Struthio camelus: one gene and its partners. The protein of the gene in region 3 interacts with the protein of the main gene of each other region in a biochemical or structural test. Links are inferred from orthologs where the notes say so. Each region holds a gene or a part of one and is shown on either strand. Other genes may lie near its edges.

The links.
Region 1: the proteins of UBE2D2 (region 3) and TTC3 form a complex in vitro, tested with the Homo sapiens proteins (2 studies listed by BioGRID). The link is inferred for Struthio camelus from reciprocal best matches to the Homo sapiens genes UBE2D2 and TTC3.
Region 2: the proteins of UBE2D2 (region 3) and RNF4 form a complex in vitro, tested with the Homo sapiens proteins (8 studies listed by BioGRID, with this or other methods). The link is inferred for Struthio camelus from reciprocal best matches to the Homo sapiens genes UBE2D2 and RNF4.
Region 4: the proteins of UBE2D2 (region 3) and RNF170 form a complex in vitro, tested with the Homo sapiens proteins (2 studies listed by BioGRID). The link is inferred for Struthio camelus from reciprocal best matches to the Homo sapiens genes UBE2D2 and RNF170.

Annotation. Positions count from the first base shown.
Region 1 is NC_090942.1:122,276,953-122,284,238, reverse strand, and holds the start of TTC3 (E3 ubiquitin-protein ligase TTC3), read right to left. Parts: upstream 3,001-7,286; 5' UTR 2,980-3,000; intron 2,965-2,979; exon of another isoform or gene 2,880-2,964; intron 2,806-2,879; exon of another isoform or gene 2,661-2,805; intron 2,653-2,660; exon of another isoform or gene 2,583-2,652; intron 2,131-2,582; 5' UTR 2,120-2,130; coding exon 2,045-2,119; intron 694-2,044; coding exon 648-693; intron 1-647. Other genes in the region: PIGP (phosphatidylinositol N-acetylglucosaminyltransferase subunit P), read left to right, coding at 3,665-3,746, 4,995-5,067, 5,617-5,735, 7,160-7,286. UniProt on the Homo sapiens protein: E3 ubiquitin-protein ligase which catalyzes the formation of 'Lys-48'-polyubiquitin chains. Mediates the ubiquitination and subsequent degradation of phosphorylated Akt (AKT1, AKT2 and AKT3) in the nucleus.
Region 2 is NC_090945.1:77,249,395-77,256,499, forward strand, and holds the start of RNF4 (E3 ubiquitin-protein ligase RNF4), read right to left. Parts: upstream 3,145-7,105; 5' UTR 3,060-3,144; intron 3,048-3,059; exon of another isoform or gene 2,953-3,047; intron 2,877-2,952; exon of another isoform or gene 2,867-2,876; intron 1-2,866. Other genes in the region: CFAP99 (cilia- and flagella-associated protein 99), read right to left, coding at 6,475-6,642. UniProt on the Homo sapiens protein: E3 ubiquitin-protein ligase which binds polysumoylated chains covalently attached to proteins and mediates 'Lys-6'-, 'Lys-11'-, 'Lys-48'- and 'Lys-63'-linked polyubiquitination of those substrates and their subsequent targeting to the proteasome for degradation.
Region 3 is NC_090954.1:22,808,839-22,816,162, reverse strand, and holds the start of UBE2D2 (ubiquitin-conjugating enzyme E2 D2), read right to left. Parts: upstream 3,220-7,324; 5' UTR 2,719-3,219; coding exon 2,695-2,718; intron 1-2,694.
Region 4 is NC_090982.1:12,000,752-12,008,177, forward strand, and holds the start of RNF170 (E3 ubiquitin-protein ligase RNF170), read right to left. Parts: upstream 3,046-7,426; 5' UTR 2,916-3,045; intron 2,544-2,915; coding exon of another isoform or gene 2,487-2,543; exon of another isoform or gene 2,396-2,486; intron 2,304-2,395; exon of another isoform or gene 2,254-2,303; intron 2,251-2,253; exon of another isoform or gene 2,187-2,250; intron 1,650-2,186; 5' UTR 1,518-1,649; intron 37-1,517; exon of another isoform or gene 1-36. Other genes in the region: HOOK3 (protein Hook homolog 3), read left to right, coding at 2,487-2,543. UniProt on the Homo sapiens protein: E3 ubiquitin-protein ligase that plays an essential role in stimulus-induced inositol 1,4,5-trisphosphate receptor type 1 (ITPR1) ubiquitination and degradation via the endoplasmic reticulum-associated degradation (ERAD) pathway.

The DNA of each region.
Region 1 (7,286 bases), on a different chromosome or scaffold from region 3:
GAGATGGTATCAAGTAGCCACAGAAGAGAAGCAGTAGCATCTGAGAGTTTTGTGTATATACGAAACCTGCTTTTACATAGGCAGCTGCATTCACCTGAGTTTCCTACAGACTAGGTATTGTAGGTTTTCATTTTGTATATGGAATAATTTTGAAGAACTTGGCGTATTGTGTAGCTATCTACTTTTCTGCAACTATCCAAAAAAGCCCAAAAAACAAAACAGAGAGAGAGGGGGGGGGAGAGGGGGAGAAAGGAGATTATCTATAATTACAACACTCTACCTACAAAGATCATCTTGAGCATGTACTCAGACCTACATAGCTAAAACATAGCTATGATTAGAGCACAGGTAATCAACAAAGTTTAAAATCTCTGTTCTCTTAACATTAACTGACACCGTGTATGGAAGTGTAACCAAGTATTCACACTGTTCTCACAAACCTATGGTATTCTCCTGCATATTACATTACAATAAAAAGATGAGAATTACTCCAACTCAAAATTTAGCAATACTTCCACTCAGAAGAGACCAAATAATTTTATACATATATGGAGACAAAATAAGGAAAAAAGTGAAATAGCAATCCAAAGATACAGCACAGGAAGTACATAGGAGAAAGTTATGCAAGATTAGTTTAATTTACATACCTGTTCTAAGTTTACGTGAAGAACGCTGTACAAATACTCCATGACCCTAATGATAAGCATATTAATTATTAACATTACATATCCCACAAATGCATTACATCAACTGCAAGCAGCAACTACTTAACTGTTTCTAAGTAGCATAATGGTTTATTTGCACTCATATGAGAAAAATGTTTACCTATATGCCCATTAACTGAAAAAGATACCCATAAATTAAAAATGTTCACAGCCACTCACAATTATTAATAGCTTAAACAATATATTAAATTATACTACCATAGCATTCTTGTAAAAAATAGATCACTCAAACCTGGCTAATGGACAGTGACATAATATCCAAGAATACCTACAGAAGACATTTTTAAGATAACAGGTTTTCAAAATATTAATTAATTTTTTAATAGTATGTGCATATATATGTGAATAAACATATATCAAAGTACGTAGAGTAAATAAAAGTGGTTGATTCATTTATTTACTTCACAGGTTGATTCACTTATTTATTTCACAGCAGTACACTGTACCAATGGAACTTTAATGAGTTTTAAAAGAAGTGCTCCATGCCAGCCGCTAGAGCTGAAGAGTAATTACACGGCTTTGTTCCATTTTACAGAGCCCTACAAAGTCTACTGTTTTAATAAAAATAATGTACATGTCTGTTAATAAATAGTAAGTATTTTGTCTGTATGTACAGCTGTATTATAATTTCAAAGAAACTAAAAGTTATTTCTGGATACGACTAGAAAAAGAAGTATGAAAACAAACGTCTGCAAGAAAGTGTTTCCTTTAAAGACTTTCATTCTTGCAGTGGCAGACCTCAGGGAAATACCGATATACTGTGCAATGACAACTTGACCTGAAGTGGTGATAAGCAATCATGTGACCTCATCAAAAGTAGTATTTCTAAACTGCTGCAACTTTACATGCAAACTGAGGCTTGTTCTCAAAAATAAATTATCAACATATTTAACAAAACTGGCCACTCACTAACAAAGAAGGAAAAAATTATTTCAAAATCGGTTCAGCTTGAAGGATCACTGCGAACGTCTCATTCACTCCACAGCATGGATTTCACTACTGTGAGGTATACCATCTGACATAGCCTGGACGCATGGCCAGCAGATTAGTAAAACTGTGTTAACAAGATCTATCTATTCCTGTCTAGTTTTACTTATTTATTGTATACCTTTTCAGTAAAACTTGTGTGATAGAGGATATGCAGTCTCTGTGCTCTACCCAGATGTAGCATTTTGCAAGAGAATAATTTACAGTGGTATAGCATATCTTTGCATTAGTTAAAGTTCATCCAGATCAATAATCAGTCTATAGATGATACCTAGGTATAAAACCCATTGGATCATCTTGCAAGCCTTTCATCTAGTTCCAAACCTACTTACCAGTTCACAGCAAGATTTATCACCAGCATAAAAAGCCATGGCCGCAGATTCAGATTCGGATATAGGCTCAGCCATGGTGCATAATACTGAAAAAAAAAAGATTATGAGAACCACACGCGGGTGGGGGAGAGAGGAAAGGAATGCACTTACTTTACAGGAAATAAAATGATCACAACATGACATTACGATTTGTGATAGCTTCACAGAAAACATGCACTCGTATTTTTACGTGACATAGTTAAACTTAAGAAAAGCATCCTAAAGCGTTAGATAATTGTTCAAGTTAAAAACTACTTAAACTGACTAACAACTCCAACAGTTTTGCAAGCGCCTGGTCCCTGACAGCACTCCTATTGCCTCACGCCTAACAGGCAGGAAAGGGAAGGGCAGTGTCTACCAGCCGGGGAAGGGTGCAACAGCAACTAAGCCCCATTTGCCACATCCAAAGACAGCGGCTCTAAACACCCCGCGTGACAGAACCGCGGAGGCCTCCCGTCGCCCAGAGCCACGCTCCCCCTCCTGCCAGCTCGCCCCCCACCGCAACCCGCGGGCCGCTGCGCGGAGCCCGGCCGCCTCGCCGCCACCTCCCGGCCCCAGCAGCAGCCGCGCTTCTCACCAGCGACGTGTCGCAGCCCCACGGAGCCGAGGCCACACCGCCCTGCCCGCTCCCGTCCCCCCGCACTGGCTGCGCTGGAGCCCGCCCCAGGCGGGCCGGGCCGGGCGTCACCCTCCCGGCCCCAAGGCGGAGGCCGGGGGCAAGGGAGGGGCACGAGCTTGGCACCGCGCGCAGAGGGGGAGGGGAGCGCCCGCCCCGGCCTCAACGCCCGCCACTCACCGGACCCCGCCACGGCCAGCGCGAGACCAACCGCCACCCGCGGCGCCGCTGGGCCCAACGCTGGCCCCTCCCCCCGCACGTGCCAGCCCCCCCCCCTCACCCGCCCTGGCCCCGCTATTGGCAGGCTGCCTTCTGACGTCAAGGGAGAGAGCCAACGCTGGGCTAGAGGTCTCCGGCCGCCGCGAACTCGCAGCTTTTGCGCATGCGTCTGCTTGCCGCGGGAGCTGGCAGCGGGAGAGGCGGTGCTGAAGCGCGCTTTTTCCGATTACGCATGCGCCAGATACACGGCGCCGGGCGACCAAGGGGAGGGGCAAGTCAGGCGGGTCGGCGCCTCTTTTCCTGCTGTCCTTAAGGGCGCCCTGGGTGTGGTTTCCTTCCTGAGGAACGCGAAGGGAAGGGGGCGGAATGGCCTAGCCGGCCGAGGCAGGTAGCAGGGGAAAGAAAGAAGGAAGGAAGGAAGGAAGGGCTGTGGGAGATGGGGGTCGGCAGCGCCGCGGCTCCCGGCCGACCGTTGAGCGGCGCGCGGGGCCTTGCGGGCTGAGCGCATGCGCAGCTCTCCCGCCACCGGCAGGCGCGTGCGGGGAGGGGGGAGGTGGCCACCGGCGCCGGTTGGTGTGGGGTGCGTCACGTCTGCATGGGAGGTAAATAAGTGATTTGTGTTGTCGTGTTTCCCCCCCCCCCCCGGATCCCCGCACTTGCGTGTAATTCGTAGCGAGACTTACCAAGCAAACCTGTAATACTTCTCTTTTTGTTTTCCCCCCCGAAGTTAAAGGGAAGAGACCAGCATGGTTGAAAACTCTCCAGCCCCATTGCCAGAAAGAGCAATATACGGCTTTGCCCTTTTTTTAGGATCTTGGTTTGGCTTTAGTAAGTATATTGTGTACTGAATAATTCACTGGAAAGTATTGTTCTGCTTAGGAGAGAAATGTAATTCCAGTTGGACCATCTCAAAAGGGTGACGATTACAATTTCTTGCCAGATCTGTGAGATGTTTTGAGAATCTAGCATTACCTTTTGTGATCCTTTCATGTTTTGTCTGTCTTTAATACTACTATGGGATTAAGTGCCTATTTAAAAAATTCTCGGCATTCTAATTTTAGTAACTTTTTTACTTGAATTACACATACAGTTGCTATTGTGTAACCGCAGCGTCCCCACCCCAGCCCCCCAAGTGCCCAAACCCTGGATATTAAAGGTTAAGGCGCGTCTGGTTAACAGCAAAGGAAAATGACCAGCCCTACCAGCTTTCTCTGCTGATGTGACAGATGCTGTAGCATTTCTCTGGGGATGTTTTACATGCCCACACAGGACTAAGATAGCCTAGAAAGGGTGAATTAAATGAGAACACCTTTTCAACAAATGAAAAGGTATTGCAAATAGATTGTAGTTGAACAAAAAAGTAGGATTCTTATGTAAGTCTTCAGTGTTTCTTGGAGGTAAGTGGCAATGCAACTAAGTTGGCTTCCGTTTTTCCCAGTGTTAGTTCTACAGAGCAAGCCTCTGCAGTTCCAGATTTTGTGTCACTGTTTGGCTACTAAACTCTTCATCTCAGTTCTTGTTAAACCTTACTCTGAATTTGTTGTTAGGGAGAAAGATTTTCAATGTTGGTTATGTTAACATGAAGATCACTGTTAAACTTACCAAGAGACTGAAAATATTTTCAGTAATTATTTTTTTCTGAATTCAGTTCTTCCATCCAAGCCCTGCCGTTCTACCACCTCTTTTAGTCGTATGACCCACTGTATAATCACTTTGTAATTTAATATTGTCTGTATGCAGAGAGTCATTTGGCGTGCTTTTGCAGAATCTTTTTGTTTTGTAGTTCCAAGACTGCATGAAATTCTTGTCTTGCCTACACAGGAAATCAAAAACTAAATGTTAAACACAAAAATGGTAGCATATAATGAGGTACAAAACATTGTCCCCATATTCGGCAAGTTTTGTGTATGAGCGATATATTCTGCAATGTCATGCTAGAGCTACCTGGGTATAGATTGTGTGAAAGTGAAACACTATCACAGTATGTATCAGTATGGAAGTATTGCTCTAAAACTTAAGGAAGAAGTCTAAAACAGTATCGGTTGCACTGTTTTGATTTTTTAATTCTTTGTGCAGTTCTGTATCTTATCTGGGCATACGTTCCTGAGACTTGGCTATTCTCTTTGGGACTAACATACTGGCCTCAAAAGTAAGTTCAAACAATTAAACTCTTAAGCCTGAATAGACGTACATTTATAACACCCTGAATTAATTTCAAATAGCAAATAGCGAAACTATACATGTATCTTTTAAATGGTGGCCTTGCATTTGATACATTTTTCCTGATGATAAAGGGCTATCGTTTTTGTGAAGCATTACTTTATACCGATAAGTAATTACGATAAAAAATATTTTGTTGTGTAATGAAAGAAGTAGTATTTATTTCAGTGTTTTGTGATAAGTTAGGAATTCTGTCTTAACCAAGTTTGCCGATGGAAATACAATAAATTTTAAATTGTATATAAAAAACAAAAGCCATCTATAAGGAGTTTGTGTGACTGTTTATAACAGGCTGGCTACAGTGACTCCATAGTTAGTAGTCTTCCTGGGAGGAACCAGGGTCCATATTTAGTGGTGGTGTTTCTTTTCGTCCCAGCTAAGTTTGTGCTGTATACAATAACAGCCAGTACATTAAAAATGTTATGTCACCAGACATTTTGTTATTATGATAAGTAAATTTTAAAATCTTATTTCTCAGGTACTGGGCAGTTGCATTGCCTGCGTATCTACTAGTTACTCTAGCAATCGGCTATATCTTGCTTTTTGGTATTAATATGATGAGTACAGCTCCACTCAACTCTACACATACTATTACAGGTAATTTTATTGTTATTTTTGGAGGGTTTTGACACTTAACAGACAATTTATGTACACATATATATATATGTAAATGTAAGTTTAAATAATATGACTCAAAGTTTAAGCCCCTAGTTTTTCAGGTGAGTTAAACAGGAGAGGAGTTCCTGGAAATACTTATGTACTGAGGTGAAAAGATAGCCATGAGCTTGATTCTTTCATCTTTACTATCTTAACGGCAGTAGTTTCCAACTAGGAAAGTGTAGTTTGTTAATAAAAGGGGCATCATGAGAGGAAAGGAACATAGGCACACAAAGGTCTCTTCGGCTTGTACCGTGCATTACAAACGAGTGAGGAGTGGAATAGGAAGAAAGGCATGAGTACAAGGCAATGGCAGAGGAAATAAGGTTCTGTAGCCGTCAGATTTGTGTGCTGAGGATGCTGCAGTACTGAGGCCTCATTAGGTATAGGTAAGAAATGCACTATTTCAAAGTTACTTTTCAGTTTTTCATTTGACTTTCTCATAGTCTTTCCTTCTCCCAAGCAGCCCAGTTCTGGGCATTCACGCTATTCTCCAGACAGCTGCATCTTTTTCCACATGGTGTTCTATTTGCAGACAGCCATTTTTGTTTAAAAAACAAAACCAGAAAAACCCCCAAAACCCAGCAAAGCTCGCCGGGGAAGTTAACTGTTACTAAAGAGGTAGACTACTGAAACTGCATCATTTTAACAAACTACGAGTATATAGTATTAGATTATAGTGAACTACAAAGGAAAAAAATCAGTTGAGGCTGTAGTTCAAATGCTTTACTCCAATGCTTCTGCCAAAAGCTGTAGTTTAGTCCTCCATGTGCTCTTAGCCGCTCACTCACACTCTCATGTCATCTCACACGGTGCAAGGGTAAGAGTTTGTGTGTCGGTATGGCAGATGGGATGGGGGAACTGCTCTGGTTGAAAAACAACTCTTTTTGTCAGTTGCTTTTCTTCCAGAGAGATCAAGTTCCCTAATTGTGTTCAACATGCAATTGGAAAAACGTTAGGGAAGGGTGCTGTGTGGTGATGGCAACAAGCAGCCAACATAAAGGGAGGATAGACTACCTCTCGCAGTGGAAATCCTAGTATAAATTGTTCAGCCTCAGCCATTGAGAGGGATGTTGGCTGTTTGGTTGGTTTTTCCTGTGTGTAGTTATTGTCATACAGAATCTCAAACCAAGTGAACTACCAGATAGAGAATTCGAGAAGGAGGGCAGGGCTGATTTGTTCAGTGACTCCGCTAATATATGGTTTTGTAAAGTGTTTCTGAACTACCATCTAAAACTTCAGCAAGGTGGAGCTTTTAGCAACACTTACAATACCTACATGTATAGAATGTTGCATTATGTAGCATTTCGTTAAAGAAAAAAGTATCTTTAATTTGCGGAACATACTTATTGTGTTTCCTATAGATAACTATGCAAAAAAGCAACAACAGAAGAAATTTCAAGAAGAAGCAATTCCTGCACTGAGGGATGTTTCCATCAGTGAAGTAAACAGAATGTTTTTCCTTCCTGAAAAAGGCATCTGCAATAGCAG
Region 2 (7,105 bases), on a different chromosome or scaffold from region 3:
CAGATCATCTAACTCCAGACCTCAAAGGTAACAGAGCACAGAGCTGCTTCTGGAACTCAGGTGGCAAAGAGCAGCATTCCAACATTGGCAGTAAGCTTTCTTTATATTAGTTGTCATAGCACTTAATACAGATAGCATGCGTGAGACACTAACACTCCTGTGCTCTTCCACGGGCTAAAGGCTCACATCTTAACCTCTTTGTCAGCTTCTTCCAAAAGAGAAAGTGTTAAGAATGGATATCTATAGAAAAGCCCAAAATTGTAAAAGGACTTTAAAAATCATCTTCGGCTTGCATTAATACCGATGAACCTGCCAAATCAGAAGAATTATACTCAAAGAAAACCAAACTGCTAGAATTTATTAAAGTTATGGAAGGAATCTTATGATCCGGCAACTTCTTTTCTCGTAAGAACAAACAAACCTCTTCTGTGGGGCTACATATTTCCAAATACGCTCTTAGCTTACTAGGGAAATTCCACTGCAAAGATCACTTCTCTGAATTGCAAGAATGGATAGGAAAAATAAAGCAAAACTTGCCTTCTTTAAAACACTGCAGATCAAATTAGCAGTGTTTAAGAACAGAGATAAACAAAGCAGTTTCAAATTTCTCACATTTAGAGATCTACCTATCAAAAAAATTCCTCGAGGGTTCTCAAAACCCCAGGACCACCCAATTTAACAGTATTTTGTATACAGTCCTGAATAGTCCAAGTTCAGTAATAACGTCTATATGGTCCTCCTCCAGCAGTCACTATGAAACTCAGCATCAAGATTCTCAGAATCAGATACCAGGAACGGAGTTATTGCACCTCCTACCCCCCAAAAGCATCAAATAACTCCAGCTGAAGCTGTTAGTAGCTCATCTATTATACTTGTAGCAAGATGCATTCAGATACCAATCCAGAAATTCTAAGATTAAGATTTTTAAATTTAAAATAAAAAACAATGATTTTTAAATGCAAAACCTTAACAGATCAACTTGATAAGCCACTAAATATTACTAACTTTTATAGGATTTTTATTGTATCACTGGGGGATGATATATAACCAGGAGAAGCCACTCCCCTTCCTCTCATACAGAGCTCTCCACAGACAGTTATTGTTCCTATCACTTAACCCTCCCAAGGGCCTAATGACTGTTATGTCCTTATAACAGCAAAGTTCAAGGTTTATTCTAGCTAACCTACCGGGATTTTAAGTGCTATATCCACCATTCTCTCTCTCAACAGGTAACTACTTGAGAAAAGTACAGGTAAACTCACCTAAATTAAGAATGTCTCCATTAGCAGTGAAAGAATATTGATTCCCCTATGCCTGATTTAAGTCGTTAATCCCTCCCCCCAAGCTAATATTTTCACCAAATTCAATTTGAATTTACCATGTTAGAATTTAGCTTTTAACTCACTAAAAATACATTTAAAACTTTTCCTACACCACTCTGAAAACAAAGTCTTGGGCTCCCACAGGCTCACTATGGTTTGAAGCAAATCAGCCCAAACAAGAAGTAGGCATTTTTACCGTGTCTGACTAATATAGACCAAACTTGACCTCATGAACATCCTAAGCATTAGAAATATTCTAAAGAAAACATTTGAATAAAGCAACAGTTTCAGAGTAAACGTTTGGTCTGTACAAGGCAAAGGTGTCAAAAACAAAATACACCACGTTAGCCAAGAAAATACAACATGCTATGCCTTTAAGACTTTGCTTCTCATTTGCACTTTTAAGATGTCTCACTGCACTTTTAATACAGGAAAGACAGTATCAAAGGGCTAAGCATCTAGAAGCGTTTTTTTGTGATCAGAAGAAGCACATGCCTATGGCAAAGCGTTAGCATTGTTGTCATATGGCAGGAAAAATAATCTGCCATTTTACTCTTCCAAAAGTTCCATATCACGTGCATCTTCTCTACCATTAGAGATGAGGAAAAAAAAAAAAAAGGTTCTTCACCAACTTTAGTAAAAACAGAAACAGAGTGTATTATGTTTTATCCAAATTAGGTCAAGCAGTCCCATACTACAAAACCTCACTGACAGGCACTATAAAAAGACTAGAGATGAGAGAGGCACAACCTACTACTTACGACCCGCTCTAAGCGGCCAGCTACATCTACAGACAAATAGGACACACGCTTACGGGCGGCCTAACAAAAACAAACGAAAACCACCCACAGCACAGAACACAGCCGAAGCCTCCAGCTGGCCAGATGCTCTATGTCAGGAACGCTGCAAACGGCCAGGGCCGGCCAGAAGCGCTCCTCGCTCCTCTTACGCGCGGCTGTTTATCCCAGAGAGCGGACATGGCTCACAGCCCAAAGCCCCGGAGGAGGGCAGAGAAAGGGGAACGGAGCAGAGCCCGGCGTGGAGACGTAGGGGTAGAGGGAACAAGACCTCGAGGAGAAACATCACCTCCGCTTCTGCGGTAACCCAACGGGGGGGTGGCCTAACCCCCCCCCCCCGCACCCTACCTGCTCCCCTGAGCCGCCCCCCCCTCCAACTCGCCGGTCGCTCCGGGACACCGGCCAGGCCCCAGGCCCGTCCCCGAGCCGGGCTCGCCCCCCGGCTGTCACCAGCGGCAGCGGGCGGCCGCCACGGCCCGTCCCCGGGGCCGCAGCCCCTCAGAGTGACGGAGCGAAGCTGGGGGGTGTGTGTGTGGGGGGGGGAACCCCCAAACCCAACGAGATACCGGGGGGAGAAGGGGAGGGCGACAGGGACGCCACGAGCGGAGGGACGACAGGCCGCGGGGAGCGCGGGGGCGGCAGGCGGCGGCGCCGGGCCCAGGCCGCCTCCCTCCCCCCACCAACCCCGGCCCCGTAGGCGCTGGCGCGGCCCCGCACGGGGGAAGCGGCCCCTGCTGCCCCCGCTGCCCTCGGCGCCGGCCCGGCCCGCTCCTCCCCCACGGCGGCCGGGAGCGGGCCCGGTGCCCCCCACCCCCACCGCCTCCATCCCTCACCTGCGGCCCCCTCAGCGCGGCGGGGAAGGCCCGGGGGCGCCGTTGCCGCTGCCCGGCCGCGGCTCCCACCCCCCCCACAGCGGAGCCCCCCGGCCTGCAACACTCACCCTCGGCGCCCGGCCCGGCAACTGCGTAGGGCAGCGCCCGCCTCCTGCCCTCCTACCATTGGCGAAACCGTAAGCTGCAGCTCTCGGACTGGGTGTGGGGCACGTCAGTCAAGGAAGCCCTGGCGGCGGGCGGCCCCGCCCCCTCATCCGGCCCCGGGGTGTTCTGGGAGTTGTAGTTTCGGGGGCGGCGCGGCCCCTCGCGGTGGGGCTGCCCGGGCCCGCGGCCCCCGAGGGTCTCCAGGGCTTCTGCCCAGGCGCGGCGGCTGCTCCTCGGAAACCTTCCCCAGCCGCTGGGGTCTGTGCGGCTCTGAAGGGAAGGGGCCGAGGCAGGTGTTTGTCCGTCTGCCGGGACGTTCAGGGCAGGTCGTGCCGTGTTGGGCGGGTGTAGCAAGGCAGTACGAGTCGGGGGTTTGGGTGTTTTTCCCCCCACAAAATGGCAGTCACCCAGCTGTGCTTCTGAACGGACCGACAGAAGCGCATCAGAAGCATGAACTTGGGAGCGAGCCACCTGTTGCCTTAGATGCGCTTAGTGCGCACCTCACTCTGCGTTAACTCGTTATAAACGCTTATGATGGTATCTCTGTGCCTCTGCCTCCCTATCGAAAGTTATTTTTCCAAGCACGAGGACCGCTTGGCCTTTCGTCGATTTAAATAGCCCCCTGCCTGGCTGCGTGTTGGCGGCGTTGTGCGTTGGCACTTCTTGCCCTCTCCTCGCCGCCGGCTGAACGCTCCTCGACGAGGTGTTTGCAATTCCGGCGCAGCAGCCCGTACGCGTCTTTGGTTTCATTTAAATAACTACACCATCTCTCCCTGTGCTGTCTGCGACCGATCCGATTACCCAGCCGGACGGGCGCTGAAGCTGGACCCCAGGCCGCCAGCAGGCTGCCGGCTGGATTGGCGTACGGAGCCGAGTCCCAGGTGGCAGTGACGGCGTTACCTGCTGCTGGAGCTTGCACAGCATGCTAACATCCCGTGGTCTTCCTCAGTAAACCTGGGCCTAGTTATACTGCAGCTCCACGTGAAAGGACGTAGTATCTGGTCGTTCACACTGTATTAAGATGCCTCACGTTCATCTGCGTGACTCTGGAAAGTGCAGCTCCTGACATTAGAGGGGTTTCTTTCTGATTCTGTTACTAACACAGGTGAAACCTCTGATACCCAGGTGAAACCTCTGATTTTGTAAATGTGTTTTGGTAGCTTATTTAAGACTCAGCCTTCTTCACTTGCCCTCATCATCTTGGAGACAAATGCAGTAACAAATCCATAAATGAGTGACTCATAGGGATCGTTCATGTAGCTGTGTTTCTGCAAAGTGTGATGAGCGTACGTGCGCTGCCAGCTCTCACTTACCTGTGTGTGGATTAACTAGGTTGTGGATTATCTGTGCCACAGACTAGCTGAGGCAGCACAGAGTGAATGCAGCTGCATTGCTTCAAAGCTAAGTTGGCTCCAACAGCAGTACAGCTACTTTTGTAACAGAAAGCTAACAAGTCGTGTGGGACCTTTACCGGCTGTGTGTTGGATCACCTTAGGTTTCCGTGCACCATGTCATGAGGAATGTAGTATCTTTGATTTTATTCTGTGTATTCTGTTGCAAGACCTCCCATCGCTGTAAAATCAATAACCTATATAAAAAAAGTAATAAATTGATATTTTTCCCAAAAGATTCATTCTTTTACATTCCTTGAAACATTGCTTATAAAATGACTTCACGCATTAGGTCCTAAAGTAGCAAGAATGAGGCTATTTCTGAATTCCACAGCTGAACTACTAAGATTGCTCTATTTCTCAGTCCTTTCATTTTGAGAGCTGGGGAGAACATGGAGAAGGAAATAGTTACGACTCAGCTTGATTGCAGTTCATTCCGAATTTTGAAGACTGGGTCCAACACCCCAGAGGAAGAAGCATGCAGTATGATAAATTTTTGAAATTTGAAAACCTTTCGTAGATATGCCTGTCTATTTGCCTAAAGATTAATCTTTCTTTTCTTAATTCTCAAAATGCATGGTATAACAAAAAGTTTCAGAGGTACTAGTCAGCTGTGAAAAATCCCAGACCGTGACTGTTAGTCCTATTATTTGCTAGCTTCTGGAAAACCGAGGCATTCAAGTCCAGACTTCGCTCTGTCATTGTGGAATACAACACAACGTGGTGCTGGACAAACACAAAGGAAAATAAACTCTGTGGAACCAAATGCTTGTCATTTTAAGCTATTCCAACCCTCTACTAGACACAGAGTCATAGTTCCGACTTCTCCGCAGTTCTACATCTATCACTCCTTCTTCCCACTCTCCTAGGATCCTTAACTCTTCCTACTGAGCTACTGCATGAATCTCATTGCTTTCCTGAACTGCTGTAGCATTCAGAATGAACAAAAAATACAGCACATTTTGTCAGCATTGCAGATTGTGGAAGCAATCTTCACAGCTAGATGGCAACAAAAGAATTCCATTAGATTTCCTTCAGCAAAAAGTGAGAAATACAATGTTGTGAGAGCATTAAAAGCAGCTGCCTGACTCTAATGTCAGCGACAGTCTCATTCAATTTAAATATTTGCAATAGCCATAATTAAACACTTAGTAACTGGCACAAATTTAAAATAGAAATACATTACATAGTCTTACTGCTGTGCAGATTTTAATCCAGATTTATATCCTCCTTGGCTTTATGCCTAGAATAAATCTTGTGATTTGAAGGCCTTTTTACACAGTATAGAAATTGTCACAGAGGGCAAATTATCTTCTAGGTGAGTAACAGATTTTTGCCTTTTTCTGGAAGCAGTTCCTTAGAGAGATCAAAGAATGTTATGTTCTCCTTCCACCATTCAAAGACAAAAAAGATTCACCTCTGCAAATATAGGAACAGTATGTCTAGGTCAGTTAGTCTACTCTCTGGCTGCTGTATGCCATCAGTTCTCCCCTCACCCTCTAAAACCAGCATTGAAACTGGTGGTCCTGCTATGCACTGCTACTGCCAGGTAAGATGATGTATTGGGAACTTGGGCTGACCGTGCCTTCTGAAAAAATACATATGTAAACAAACATTGTACTTTTTTTTCTCCTAATTTTTATTCTTTAGGAAGATGAATGTAGCAAATCATGGTATAATATATAATGATAATAGAAATACAGACAGCATTCTTATCCAGATATTTGTCATTCTGCCACAGGAGCCTCAGTTGCAAGGGCTCAGTTTCTTACAGCTTTTGATTCTAACTGGAAAAATAGGTCATTACTGATTAAAAATAAAAATTCCATGACAAAAAAATAACAAATTTTGACTCAAATGTGCCTGTATGACCAGAGTTGTGCTATTCAAACTGTAAAGATGAAATAAAGGTTAAAATTCAACCTTGTAGTATATGGGCACACTGGGAGAAGTTTTCCAGCAAGTCTGATTTTTTTCCAAATGAATTTTATTTTACTTCAGATCGCAGTATACAAACTGTGGCTCCATTTTTTGCTGCCTCATATGCAGCCATTTTCTGAGCTGTTTCTCTGGCCATGAAGCCATGCTGAAGGATCTTGAACTGTCTTTCCCGACTCTCTTCCAGTTCTTTCCAGTGGTTCTGTTGCAAAGAACTCTGCAGAAAAAAAACAGGGATTATCACATCGCAGAGAATATAACGGTTCTATTTAGATGATGCACTGAACTTTTGTATGATAATCTGGCTGGCTGGTGACACATTCTACTTGCTAACACAACTGGGAAGCATGTCAACTTCAAATTAGGCATGATGAATATAAACATAACTTGATTGGGTTGCCCAGTTTAAGATGAATTAAACACAACTGCAACACCTCACAAAATGTTAGGTCAAGGCAAAACTACATCAGGACTGTCACGCCCCAGTGCCCCACCTTATGTTCTCCCATCGCCAATAGATTGTTCTTGAAGTTATAAATGAACAGTTGCTCAGATCCTCTCTATCAGACGCTACTGGTTTGCGGATTCAAAAACTAGGTTCACAAAGCAGGACTGCCAAGAAAGCTCAGAATAAACAAAACAGTTACTTTTTCATCTGATTCTTGGCTTAAAATGGTAGA
Region 3 (7,324 bases):
TATGACCCACCCCCAAAAAAGCAATGATCTTTCAAAACACCTCCAAATCCACAAACGTATCGCTGCAGTAATTCAGAACAGTCTTCACATTGCAATAAGTGTCACTGAAATAAGTGACAGAACGATGCAGACTGAACTGCCACTAAACTAGATACTGATACTAAACTAGAATGTAACTTCCTTAAAAGCAAGTCTAACTCAACCACATCTGAGATTTGTGATCATTTTCTGCCAAATTTTTTGGATGAATCCACTTCTCCCTTACCTGTGCTTCTTGATGACTAGTTAAGTAAAAAAAAAAAATACATATGTATATAACCCATTACTGCACACTTTTGTGAGGAAATTTAAATATACTAACATAATTATAGTCTACACTCGTCCCTTTTATGCTCTACCTATTCCATGAGGATAGGAAAGCCTTCAAGCTCTCTTCAATTTTCTTCCTTCTTCTTTCCTTTGCTTTAATTTGATCATGATTAAGTTTCACAAATACTTAAAGATAACCTACTACCATAGCAAAGACATTAATATGTTGTCTAAATCTTGTATTATATACAGAAGAAAACAGAACTAGCAAGAGACTTTGAACATCTGCCATCAGATTCACGTTTATTTCTCAAATATATTAGACCCACATAGATAATTCAGACTAGAAATCCTAAGGGAGGACTGGCTTCTAGATCTGAAGTTTGCATGCAGATTCTAGGCTGAAAGCTACACCTTTACGCGAGAGGATACCAATTCCCTGCCTGAATCACCAAGGCAATAAAAACACGCTTGAATAGTCCTCTCTGGGGGAGATGGCCTTTTTTTTGCGTCTGAAATATGCTGTGATGATCAAGTAAGCTATAGTCTCAATATCAGAGGGGAGACTCAGAAGCAATGATTTTTCTAGAAAGCTAGCATATGGACCATGGCATGCCTCCTGCTCCAGAAGGAAGCATGTCTCACACACATTTCCCTACAAGCATACTAGATAGCTTCATCAAACAAATAATCTGAGTCAATGCTATTCTACAATACACCACACTATTTTGAGTAGCTCAAATGTGACAGACTTACTATGCCTCACATTTCACTATCCAGTACCCACGAGCTCCTTCTTCCTCAAGGAAGGATTAAAAACTTAAACAGAAAGCTTAGAAGCAAGCTATGTCAAAACTTTCAGTGAAAACAGCACTGCTCTACGCCACGTATCCTCTTCTAAAAAATGGCAAAAACCGCTTAACAAAATACCACATCAGTACATGGTATCTTGATGCTATTAAGCGCTAAACATACCCCATTTCTGAAACTGGGTAATTTGAGAATGCATGTGTGTTAAGCAACATTTCATTAGATGCAGCAGTTGCTAGACTGAAGCTGCAGGATGCCATTTCCCAGGAGACGCTGCCCCCCGCCATACCCTTCCGCAGCTGCGGCAGGCAGGTGGGCAGGGGCCTCCAGCACAGCCCCTGGCCTGGGCACCGCCGCGCAGCCAAGCCCCCTGGCGGCGATGCAGCTCACGGCAGCGCGGCTCCACCAGCTGCCTGGGGCACGGCCTCGGCCACAGCGGGCACCTCGCTTCTGAGGAACAAGGAGAGGGAGAAGGAAAAGAGACAGGAGATAACCCCAAAGAGAAATCCACTATCCTCATAAAACAAAATAAAACAAAAAACAAATAAAACAAAATTCACACTTCCTAGTTCCCCCCTCCACCCTCGAAGACATCAACTCCTAGAAAAAGATCAGCCCCAGAGTCAAGAATCGACTGCTTCAGAGCGCTTGTCTGAAGGAAATGGAATCGTGGTAAGAATTTAACAGACCTTCTACTCTGAAGAAAAAGAAGCGTCATTTTATTCTAGGCTCCAAAAGCATTCTGTATCTTTGGCAGTCACAGTAGCACCAACACAACCGGGCCTGCTAACAGTATAGAGATCAGAGTCAAAGAAGCAACAAGAAACCTGGTCTGCTTCAGACTTGCCACCAAGTTTCTCTTGTTTAACCTTTTTCAGCTTGGCTGCTACCACCTTTCTTCATTTCTGGAAAAGGCATGATGTTCCCTTTCCTCAATCTTTAGGCAAGCGATGATCATGCTAATAACAAAAAAATGAACATGCAAGTCCCCTAATAAAATCGAAAAAAACCCGCAAATGTTTACTTCAGTGTTTAAAAAAAAAAAAAAAAAGAAAAAACATAAAGAAAAAAAGAAGAGGTTAAAACACCCTTCAAGAACTCCCGCAGTAACTGACCCCGAGCAGACACTGCCCTGCCCAGGCAGGACGGTCCCGGTCCCCGGGCCCCACGTAGGGCCTAAGGCATGAGGCCGGAGAAGAGAGCTAGAGGTGCGGGCTGCGTCCCAGGGGAGCTCCCTGCCTCGCCGAGCGGGCAAGGCCCAGCCCATGGCTTCCCCCAGCCGAGCTGAGGGGCCCGGCCCGGCCGGTCCATCCTCCCGAGCCGCACAGGCCGCGCCGGGCCGGCCCAGGGCAAGCGGCCTAGCCGCTGCCCACGGGGCGGGGGGGCAGCGGGGCCGGCGGGGAGGCCGGGCCCGCCGGGGCAGGCCGGGTTATGTAAGGCGAGCGCTAGGCCGGGCCGGCAGCCGCTCGGAGCGCGGCGGCGGCAGCGGGAGGGCCCGGGCGCGGCGGGGCGGCGGGAGGCGAGCGCGGCGCGGCGGCGGGCGGGGGCCGGGGCGGCGCGCGGCCCTGCCCTTACCTTGTGGATTCTCTTCAGCGCCATTGTGTGCGCGAGGCGGCGAGGAGGGGCGCGCGGGCGGGGAGGGGGCAGCCCGCGGGGACTATTTTCCGAGGGGGAGGGGAGGAGGAGTGCGGAGGTGGCGACAGTGCGAGAGGGGGAGGGGGAGGGGAAGGAGAAAAAAAAGGGGGGGGAGGGAGGGGAAGGGGGGGGCCAGAAGGCGGCGGCAGAGGTAGGGGGTGGGGGGGGCCTCCAGGCGGGCGGGCCTCACGCGCTGCTCCCCCGGCGGCGGCCGCTGGACTCTCGCTCGGCGCCGCAGCTCCTACCGCATCCCTCCGCGGGCCCTTTATGCGCTGCCGCCTCCGAGCCGGCCTCCCCCCCGCCGCGTATCACTCCGCCGCGGTCCGCCTGCCCCCCTCTATTCCCCGTGCCCGCCGGCTAACGCGAGGCTGGCGGCGCGCAAGGGGCCGCGGCGGCGGGGCCGAGCCCGGGCGAGGCGCGCAGGGGGGGAAGGGCGAGAGAGGGGAGGAGGCGGCGGGGACTATTTGCCCTGCGCCGCGCGTACAGAACTCTCCAGAAGGGGGAGGGGGAGAGCGGAAGGATACGGGAGCGGGGAGGCTGCGGCCGCGCGGAGGGGGTTGGTTGGCGACGTGCGTGACGGCGGCTTCTCGCGAGAAGGCGGGAGGGGAAGAAGTTCCGGCCGCGCCGCCGCGGTGGAGCGGCCTTGGCCGTGAGGCGGCGGGGCAGCGCCTGGGCCCGGCCCGGTCCGAGGCGGCGGCGCCCGGCGCGGGCGGAGCGCGGCAGCTCGGCCGCCCGTGGGGAGCCACCGCCCAGCCGCGCTCCCGGCCCCGGGGAGCCCGTGGCGGCCGGGAGCGGGCCCCGGACGTCAGCGGGCTGAGGCGGCCCTAGGGGTGGGCCCGTGGCCCCTTCCCGGAGGAGGCCCAGGCCCGGTGGTGTTGGTCACCGGGAAGTGGGGAGGGGCCCCTGAGACAGGCAGGGCCCTGCAGCATAGGCCTTCCAGCGTCGTGTGAAATGACACTGAAAATGATGCTGGCAACACCTCGTACCTGCTGCAATAGCGCTAGGGTGTCACGTTAAGCGTCCCTTTAGGGTGTTTAGCGGCATGAGAGTGATGCACGGTAATTCCTTCTTAAGCTGGGGAGGAGAACACTTTAAATCACAGTATGTCTCTGCAAAATAAAGGCTTGAACAATCAAGCAGACTTTATTTATAGCAGCGAGAAAGTACGTCAAGTGTCAGGCTTACCAAGCATGCCAAGACAGCGATGTTGTGTGAAGAACTCAAGGAGTACCAGCAAGCGCAGTGCTTAAAAAGACACCAAAGTGCTCACCAGGCCAGCAGGATCATGTAGGGAGAGGAATACTCGAGCAATGACCTTGCCCATGCAGTCCCGCTTCCAGTGGAGGAAGCGAAAACGTTTCCATTCAGATGTTAACTTCTCTGCAGAGAACATCGCTAAGGGCAAAAGTATGTTAGTTTTCAGATGGCTGAGCAGCCCTGTGCATTTCATGCAGCTTTTTATCAAAAAGTCATCAAATAATGCTTCTGATTGCTCCCAGTCAGTAGCCGTGAACGGGGTTTTGTGACGCTTCAGCAAACCTTTGAGCCATGTAACCACTTCCTGTTTGTGTAGCTATACAATCAAAGCATGAATGGATAATAACCATAAACAGCAAGCTCAAAAACAAAAGGGCAACTTCCCTTTGGGTTTGAATAATCAGAAACTGAGTGAACTAGGCTGGGAACGGTCAGTAGGACACAGCTTATAGACAAGGATTTTGTTTTAGAATTTTAACAAGTCAAGTCTGTAGAGCAGTTCAGCCTAACAACTGTTCTCACACAAACAAACCTGCAACTAAAGCAGTTCTCTTACAACCGGTGAGCCCGGGGACATCTTACACTATTAAGGCATTTTAAATTCCAATTGAAGTATTTTCTGTTGACTCTGCTTTTCTTCCCGTTGCCATCTTTCATTTATGAATTAGGACTGGGCAGTTGCCCCTCCATGTTAGACTTGGGATGGCTGGTGCCTTGTGCTGTCTGCCTGCTTCCAGCAGCTGAATTTCTTGCAAGGAAAATACCAAGAGCATTTTTAATCACTGCTGGAACTCATAAGACTTGCACGAAGGCATGAGTTTTTGCTCCTTCACAAGCAGTCGTAGCAAAGCCTGGTCTCCTATAGATTTATGTCTTGTGCAATTGACTTTTCTAGTGGATTGTACTAAGATTTTCTGTTATTACCTGTCTTCCTCTGCTCACCTTCTGGTGCTGTGGTAGAGTTCTATTTTTCACCGTTCTTCTTGTCATTCTCACACCTTCTGTGCGTTTCTTGGCAGAGAGGGATGGAAGGCTTAAATGGCAGACATTACAGAGAAGTAAAATACTCAACTCCAAGCTGCAAGAAGCAGATCTGTGCTTGGGACTCAGCTCCAAAGCTTCCCCTGAGGTCAGACGCTATGCCTTTGTTAAGAAGCACTTCTGCGAACCAGTCTTTGTAGCCAGCAGAGTTACCTATAGTACTAATTTGCTTGCTGCTTTTGAACTGGGAAGGTTTGGAAACCCCACACCGTTTCTGATGTAGAGCTGGCAACAATAACATCATGCTGACTCCTTCCTAGAGCACCTGCTCCTTCCTCCTCCCAGGTAACTGCTGTTCACCATGTTCAGACTGGAGAGGAGGCTCTCCAATAGTGCTGGCACCAGTTGCAGAGTCCTGTTGGGGAGCCTGGGAACTGCTGCCTCTCGGCAATAGTTGTCTGTTCTCCTGCTGACTTGGCTGCCAGCCTTTCTACAACAATCAAAGATTTCTCTTCTAGTGCATTTAGCATAGGGTGTGTTTCAAATTATTTTCTCTCTCCTCTTCCACATTAGGTTTCTCCCTGCAGAAATCCTGTTCTGCTTTTCTCCCCTTCCTCTGCTATCTCATAAAATCCTCTCACATGACAGAGAAGATATATCACACACTCATAAAAATGTTTTTTCTGGGCTTTCTGGGTCTTTTCAGCTACTTTGATTCATTGTTTGGTTTCTTGATCTTTCCCCTCTTTTCTGTGGCCTTTTGCTCCCCTTGGGTTGCCAGAGACCTGTTCATTCAGCTGCCAGACAGCATTCATTCATTCGGAAAAACAGACAACAATTCTTCCCCAACTCATCCCTCTGTCACCCCCAGCGCCAGCTTGAGGCTGCAGTCTGTGGCAAGAGAACTCGCTCTCCCACCTTGCCATGCCGGTCTCTACCTGCTCACGGAGGAGGTGTTCAGGAGCTGGAAATGTTTAGATACTAACCCCAAGGAGTCCTTCCCCTTATGGCCATCCCCAGTCATGGGCTCGCAGTGAAGCTGTTCTTTTTCCAAAGCGTTCTGCTTTCCTCTTGCTGCCCAGCCAACATTACAGTAGTCAGATCATGATCGAGCAATCTTATTCCGGTTGCTAGAAATGGCATTGCAAATTCCTCTTTACTCGGAGACGCTCCTCGGGCACGGAGAGCAGTACAGTCACGGAGCTTTGCCCCAGCCCTGCTCTAACTTTGCCCCATCCCTCAGCAGGGCAAGCATCAGTGTTGTCTGCTTTGAGAAACAGTTCAGAGGGCCCTGCTTTGTACGCCACTTTGCAGTGTAAATACAACCCACATTCCTTACCCAAGAGCAATGTGCACCTTTAGGTACAGGTGACATCTCCATGGTCCAGCCTAGGGCTATTAGTGCAGATATATCCACTATCATATCCACCATCACTGTAGCCATGTAACTTCCAGTTACACTAAAATGTACTTAGGAGTTAAGTTCAATGCTTAATGTCCTGAAGTGAAGTCCTACTAGTGACTGCTGGGAGGGAGAAAGGCCTCCTTATCCTCAGGCATCTTCTGAAGCACCCCTCTAATGTTTCTGGGGCAGTTTTCAAAATACCTTTAAGTCACATCCTCTAAGAGCTGCACCTGCAAGTTTCAGAAGTCTGCACACCAGCTAAGATTAATGTCATTCATTTTTCCAGTATTTTAATAAAAAGTGTTGGAATTTCTCCCCAAACTGGAAAACTATTTTTGGCTCACAGTAAAAAAAGTAACAGTCTGGATTGCTATTTTTTCCTTGTCAAGCTTTGGAAAGTCTTCTCTGAGTAGAAAAGCATTGTAAAACTCAATCCAGAGAATCAACAATTTTGAAAGTGTAAAGAGTTAATAAAATAGTTACGTTGTGATTTTAGTACCAGGGATGACTATGATTTTCTTTTTCTTGCTAGAGAAAAAAATTGATAAGAAATTGAAAAGTAATTTTTACCATTGTTACTCACAAGGTCAGTCCCCTTAGATTTGCTGAAAGGCCTGAATTCTCATCTGCAACTTCAGAGAGTGGCCTATAGCTTCAAAAAGATAGATTTTAACTCCTTAAAGTCTACAGAGAATTGAAGATAGCGATATGTTGCACATGTTGAACAGTAATTTCCCCAATTCACAGTTAGATCCTTGTCTGATGTGTCAATAGTTTAAGCACTTTCCACTGGAACTAGGAGATGTCATAAAAATGCCACGAGACTCAAGAAATACCAGGCACAAACAAACATTAACCTAAGATCACAGGCAGCAGAGCTGGGGAATCCCTGGCCATGCTGAACTCAGGTCAGCATTTCTCCTCTCG
Region 4 (7,426 bases), on a different chromosome or scaffold from region 3:
ACCAACCAAGGCACTTGCCTGGTGAAGCAGGTCTCTGCAAGGTCTGAGGTCAACAGCCTCTGAGGGACATGTTTTCCTGGGGGGGGGGGGGGGGAAAGTAGGTACTCTATCCTTATTGGAGGAATGATGCTTTGCAAGTTAGAAATACAGCACAGGCAAATTCATTCTCTATTTCAAAAGGATTGAAGTTTCTTTTCGCTCAGATACTCATTTGTTCTGTAAGGGAAAATACCATCAAGTTAAAATACCACTCTAGTAGAAACAAATAAAGAAGCTTTCCATTATGAGCCTGAAACTATGTTGATGGCTTGAAGCAAAAAGACAAATACAATGGTCTGCACAGCATTACTATTTGGAAGACCTGTATTGACAATGCATGACCTGTATAAAACAGTTCCTAACAAAGTCTTCCACTGTTTCATAAGAATAAAACAGAGAAAGGAATGGAATTCTTAGTAACATAAAGGGTGAAATTAAATTCCTGTGCAGATCGGGACATAAGAAAGAGCCTGCCAATGCCTTCAGCTTGAATAAATTGCTTTTCTGAGCAGACAAGGAGAAAAAGGAAACAAAATCACTTCATTAGAAAATGATTTACTGATGAGTGATGATACTTCACCTAAGACTCAAAAGGCTTATTTACGCTAAACCTGTTGTAAGAAAAGTGCTTAACAATTGTTTATTGCACAATGCATTTTTTTCCTTATACAATCTCATATCTAAAGCAGAACACAAAACAAAACACATTACTGCATTTGTTTTCTAAGGCTTTTAAACCTTCTTCCTCAATTTGACAGCTGCTCTTAAAAGGTAAGAGGCTGAATTCAAAACTTGAAAATGAAAATAGCTGGTTATGCTATGACATCAGGGAGAAGATACTTTTCTGAATAAGCGGGAGAGTTTTCACAGCTCTTGTAACACACTTTCAATTGAAACAGGCTGACATAAAGTAATATCAAGATTTTGTCCATGCTATTTGCTCATTTAATGCAAGAACTGTGAGAAAATAGGAACAAAATGACAGTATTTAGATGCGCAACACTTTCTTTCTCGGTTGTTTATGCAACTCTCGTCCGCGTTACTAGCGTACCATGCTTGCTACTCCATGATGCCACATGCCAGCTCAGTGACTAATGAGCCGGGATCTGTATAACTTAATATTACATCTGATATTCTCATTAGAAGCTTCAGCTGGGGCAAAATTCAGCTGATTACTGAAAACGAGTTTGCTGAACCCTTCAGGCAACCCCTTTACAGTCTGATGTAGAGCTCCTCTAGCCAAGGAAGTAGGGAGGCAGAGCCACACTAGCCAAGAAATAATCTCCTATTAAGGTTAAACGTGAATTGAGTTATCCACAACTAATCTGATTTAATAGATTAACTTTTATGATAGCAACATTTTGCTGAGAGGGAGCTAACGTCATTTTCTACAGCAGAGAGAAGAGGGGGAAAAAAAAAAAAAAAGGAAATCTCCTTTTAAAGGCTGCTCTTGCCACGTGTCAGACTGCACTACTTACTAGCAAGTGCCTTTCCTGGGGTGCAGCAACCTCACCAGTCCACACTGCTGAAGTCAGAGAGCGGCAGAGGCCGGGGCCCTACCCGCTACCCACCAGAGACCCACCAGGCCGGCTCCTACGTGCGCGTCGGGGCTGCAGGACCGGGGGGGGGGGGGGAGAGAAACGAGGCAAGAGCAGTCAGCCTGCGGCAGGGCCTCTCCAGAGGACCACCCCCCTCCCCCGGGGGAACCTGCTTTTTGTCGGCACGCAAGTGCTACTGGGCTGGGGGAAGAAGGGGAAAAGGGGGAGGGGAAAAAAAAATAAAACAAAAAAAAAGCTAACCGCGGCGCCAGCCTTGCGCACCCGCGGTGTTGTGTAACCGCCAGCACCACAGTTCGGCACCGGCCGCGCTCGCCCAGCCTGCGCAATGCGCGAGCGCCCACGCGCCCGTTAACGGCTCCCCCGCGCCCGTTAACGGCTCCCCCGCGCCGCCCGCCAACCGGCCAGCCAGGCAACACGGGCCCCCCCGCCCCGCCCCTCCGCACCCTCGCCGGCTAGGGCGGCACGGCGAGAGGAGGGAAGGGGAGAAGAGGAGAAGGGAGAAGGCTCCCCGCCGGGCCGGGTCGGGGCGCCGCCGCCGCCGCCTCCCCTCAGCGGCGTGGGGGAGGGGCGCGGCCCGCGCGGCGGTACCTCAGCTCCCGGCGCGCGCGACGCTCGCCGCCGCCGCCGCTGCCCCGCCCCGCGGCCCCCCCCCCACCCCTCCCTCCACTCCGCGGCCGGGCTCGGCCGACAGCGGCGCGGCGCGTCAGGGGCGCATGCGCGCTGGGGGCGCGCGGGCGGTTCCTGGGAGGTCGCGGTGACGTGTCGACGCCACAGCCCAGGCCCGGGACGCGGGGGGGGGGGGGAGAGGGGGGAAAGGGGGGCGCCGCCACAGGACGCGACGCGAGCGGGCCGCGGCCGTTAGCCCCGCGCGGCCGCCGCCGCGCCGCCATGTTCAACGTGGAGAGCCTGGAGCGGGCCGAGCTCGGCGAGAGCCTCCTCACCTGGGTGAGTGCCGCGGCCGCCTCGCCGCGCCCGGAGCGGCGCCGCCCGCCGGGGACACGGCTCCGTGCACCCGCCCCGGCCGCCGCCGCGGAGATTGGAGCGGGTTGGGGTTGGGGGGGGGGTGGGGAGAAGGGCGCCGCCATCGCCGTCGCCAAGGCCGCCGCCCCGCCCGCCGGTGGGCCCGAGCCCTGCCGCGGCCGCCCTACCCCACCTCGCCTCCGGCCGCGGCGCTGCCCCCCACCCCGAACAAAGGAGCCGGCGCCCCGCGGCGGGCAGCGGCCCCCCTCCCCCGGCCCCGGCTGCCTCGGCTCCGCGCCTCTACCGGCGGCGCCGCGGGGTGCCCGGGCCCCGCCCGCCCCCCGCAGCCTTTTTTACCCGGAAACTTTCTTTCTTCCCGTCTGTTTCGTCTTCTTCTTTTTATTTTTTTTTCTTTTTCCCCTTGAGCCCCGAGGGGCGGCGTTCACCTGTGAAGTCAAGGTTACACCCCCCCCCTTTCCCTCCCCCCTCCTCTTGCCGTTACCTTTACTTCATCTTCACCTTGGGGCTTTGGTCCATGAGCGCGTTCAGGTTGCGCTGTTCTTCGCAGAGCAGTCCAAACTTACTGGACGGGGGACCGGGGTTTGCAAGCGCTGCTCCACGTTTGGAGCGGTGACTGTGCCATATCCTTGGAGCTGGCATTTTCTGTAGCAGCTGATTCATCGGTGAGCTGTTTGGAGCCACTGGATTTGTGGTTTTTTTTCTTTTTTTTTTTCCCTTTTGTTGATGTTGTCTTTCCATTAACAGTATTGGCAAGTAAATACCCATTGTGTGCAACTCTGGAATATGACTGACAGTTGAAAAGAGCTATATACTTACTCTTCTAGATATTTAGTCTGTGAAAGGTCGGAGCTGGATAAAACTGTGATGGTGAGTAAGTTGCTGGGGAATGGTAGTTTAGCTTTTTCTGTGAAAGTCAAAAGTGGACAAGCCAGGAAGATTCACTGAGTGTTGAAGGTGAGCAGGTGGCCCAGAATGTACAGAAGACTGAGGCTTAGGGGAACAGTATATAATGCAATGCCATGGCTACTCTCCTGCTTTATGCACGTAAATGGAATAAGTAACTTGAGAGTAAGTAACTCTGTTTCACTTCCCTTCACATCCCTGCCAGTCCTTGCACCTTCCAGAAGCATTGGCCACTTGTCCTGCCTTTGGGCTCCCAGGATTCCTTTTTCAGATATTGGGAAAGAAATGAGAATCCTCCTACTGTTGGAATTCATGAGGAAGTAGATGTGTGTGACTCTTGGTGAAGAAAGGCCAAGCAAGAGGCTCATTATGAGGGGGGGGGGGGAAATAAGTTGTATTGGGGGTGGATGGAAGATCTGTTGCCGTGTGTCGCTACTTTCCCTGTGCTCGCGTGCTTTAGCTGTTTTACGTGTGATCCTCTGGTGCTCTTTGGCAATAAAGTAGTCACATCGCTGGGAGAAGCATAAGATGAACGCTAACCTAGCCAGTGGTCCCAGTCTCAAATGCTATCTTGACTCCTTAACCTTCGAAGTAACTAACAGACCAGCCCTTTGCTAGGAGTCCAGTCATCTGCATGTGGACTGATATACTTGAAATATGTGAGTTGCTGCAGAGTGATAGGTACTGAATTTTCTGTTGTCTGTAATTTACTGGTCTGTAAACAGTGATTTGAACTTGTTGATCCTACCCTTTATTCAATCACAGGTTGGATAAAATTGTTAATAGCCTGAGAATATTTAGTTGAAATGCAGCATTTGTACAGAAGTCTATATCAGGTCTGAAAAGATTCCAGGACTAAAAATCTTCTAATATTCACTTAAAATATGGTGTTCAAATTCGATTTGAAGTGATAATATTTCAATTTAATTTTAAAAGATTGCGTGAGATTAAACTATTTGTGAGCTAGTGAAGGAATTCACAAAATGCAGAGTGAGAATTAGAAGACTATGGTTTCTCCTGGGGAAGAGGGGAGTCTTCACTGAATCTTCAGTCAAACATCGTACAAACCAGTAGTCTATATGTGCTCCAAAGGACTGTATCATCAACTTTTGCACACGCTCAGATCTAGTGGAAGTTGAGGTCCTGTTGATTTAGAAAATAAAATAACGTAGGAATCCACAGTTCTTGCTTTTGGAGGGAATGAGGACAAGTATGTCTAGGCGAAGTCTGTTCACTGTTAGTAAAAATCTCGATCGATTACCTTGCAGACTTCTTACAAAGAAAAATAGTAGAACCAAACGGTGATTTTGTTTTCCTTTCCATATTTGAGAGTTGAAGCAATCAAATTTTGAGTGGCTAACTTTATTGTCACCTTTGAAAATAATTGGCACTTTCCTCACAAAACTGAACCATTGACAAAGATGACCTTTGGACAAATCTCCTGGAAACGTAGACATAAAAATGGATAACTTAAGAAAAGAAAAATGTATTGTGATATGGTCTGTCTGTAAGAATTATTTACTCAAGTCGTATGGACGTATGACTATGTGTAAGCTGTAGCAAGTTATGCACGTTCCTTGATCCTGAACCTGTACCTGTCCAGGCCGATTCCTGTCTCTGTCGTATTGGTCAATAAAGATCCCTTTGCTTTTCCACATCCTACCCTCCCTTACATACTGAGCTAATCAAGAAACTAGCTTCTTTTTTTGTTAGCAGAAATACTAGTAAATAAATAGTAATAGAACTAGACTTAAATAGAACTCGAAATGATCAACACGTGTTTCTTAGCTTAATATATGGAACTTTGGATTATTTTAACAATTTCAGTATTTTTGGATGAAGATGACTTTGAAATTGGTTCAGTTAAAAAAAAAAAAAAAAAAAAAAGACATTTATTCCAAGATACATAAAACTTGAAAAAGAGACCATGAAGTTTTTTGGAGTTTTTCCTCAGTGAAACTGGCAGTATAAATAAGAGGCCTTTCAAACAGGATTTTTGCTGAAGTGCCATAATGATTCTTGGGAAATTGCTCATTTAGATGGCAGAGTAGAGCTGTTTTAATTGCAATTTATGCACATCTTGGAAGGCCAATCTCTTCTGTTATGCTGGAGAGCTTGGCAGTTCTGAAAAACTGGTTTAACCTCCCAGATTGCTTGCAAAACACTTCACATGCATATAGAAGTACTTCAGCTGGTTTGTCCACGTGTCAAGAAAAGTAGATAAGGCTTTTCCGCAGGTTGAGAACCTGTTCAACCTAAACCAAGTGTCTGCTGACACGGATGTAAGAAAGCCGAAAATGCTCCTCCCTCTCCCAGCTCATGACTTTGATTGATGAGAATATCAGTCAAGCCTTCTGCCTTGCTTGCCGGAGATTCCTATTTTGCATCTTTAATCTAGAGCAAACTGTTTACCTTTGACTGTTTTGTTTTATTCTCACCCCCTCTCCTCTGTCCTGTCTCGGTGGTGTTATGGGCTAGGTTGGGGCATTACTCTGTCTCCTTTGTCTTGTTGGCTGACAGCATTGTCACAGTTTCCTGAGTCCTCCTTCCTCAGGATTTTAAACAGCTGGGAGAGCTTTTCCTTCCTGCCGTTTCAGCAGATGGTCGTGATGGTTCTTTGAGGCAGCCAGGGTAGTGGCAGCTGGAGTGAAACTGAGTGAAAGACTGTAGCCTGGCTCCTGATACCTCAGAGTCAATTTTTCTAACCCTTAGCAGTGTTTGCCAACCACTGTCACTACTGAACTAGTTCCCTACCAGAAATCTCCCAGACGTCTCTCCTAGGACTACGATAGGCACTGCAGTATAGTTGTCCAAGCAGCATTGCAGCCAAAGCAGGTTAGAAAAACGTGACTGGGAGGTAAACCTGTATTGTTTCAGAGTATCCAATGCAGGTAGGCAGCATGTTTTCTGTTCAAACCTTATGACTGGTTCAGAGATGAATATTCATATTCTTTGTGTTGTATGTTGTGTCAGGAGTGCTTTTAAGTCAGCTATGTTTCTTAAGTCATGACTTAAGACCCTGGTGTGCTTTCAAACGTGTGTGGCAGTTGTGCTGTAATATACCCGTATCAGAAATCAGTGTGATGGCTACAGGCTTGTCAGTATGTAACCTGAGAAATTTTCTTTCGACGTAGAACCAAGATCTGATACTGTAAAGGTTGCTCAGCCTTGGTATTTAAACAGCAGAATTCCTCAAAGAGGTCAGTGCTTGCTGGTCCTAAGTAGCAGATTGCTGTGGCGATGTCAATTAACTCTCCCTTGCCCATGATGGTAAGCAACTCTTCTTTTGCCATATGCTGCCTCCAACAAGTTGCACCTTGCCTGCTTTCTTTCTCTTCCTACCCTGAAGGCCAAATGTGGTTTCTGTAGATAGAGGAATTGAGATACTTATTTTGCCAGTATTATTTTGTTGTTTATTTTTGTGGATGTGTTAAAGTTTTCTATTACATGGGAATTTTGTAGATACTATTCAAGACCACTGTTCTGGGTTCCTTCATTTTGAAAGCACATTTGACCGTTTGTGTGGTATCAGTCCTTTGACCTTTTTCTTTTTTGGCTGGAAACTTCCCTCAGTACAGTATATCTCTGTCTTCTACGCGAAGGCCTTTCCTCAGCTGGAAGGCCTTGCCTATGTTAATGCAGAGGCCATATGAGCGGCAGCTGAATTAGAGATTTTTTTAGAGGTTGTTTGTAAATGTTTTGTAGGCCCCCTTTCCAGAGAGGGTAAAAGATGTTGGCATATACTAGAAAAGCTATGTTTTTCCACTCCTCTCCAATTATCTCCTTTTTATACTAGGTTGTTTTTGATCCTTGTGCATGTATACTTTTAAGTGTTATTCTGGTTTTGTGCAGATGCAAGGATTGCAGGAGACTAGCTAAGCCTGTTTAGTCTCTCTTCTTGATCCCTAACCACAGAGTTGTAGAGTACCATTTTCCTCTGATGG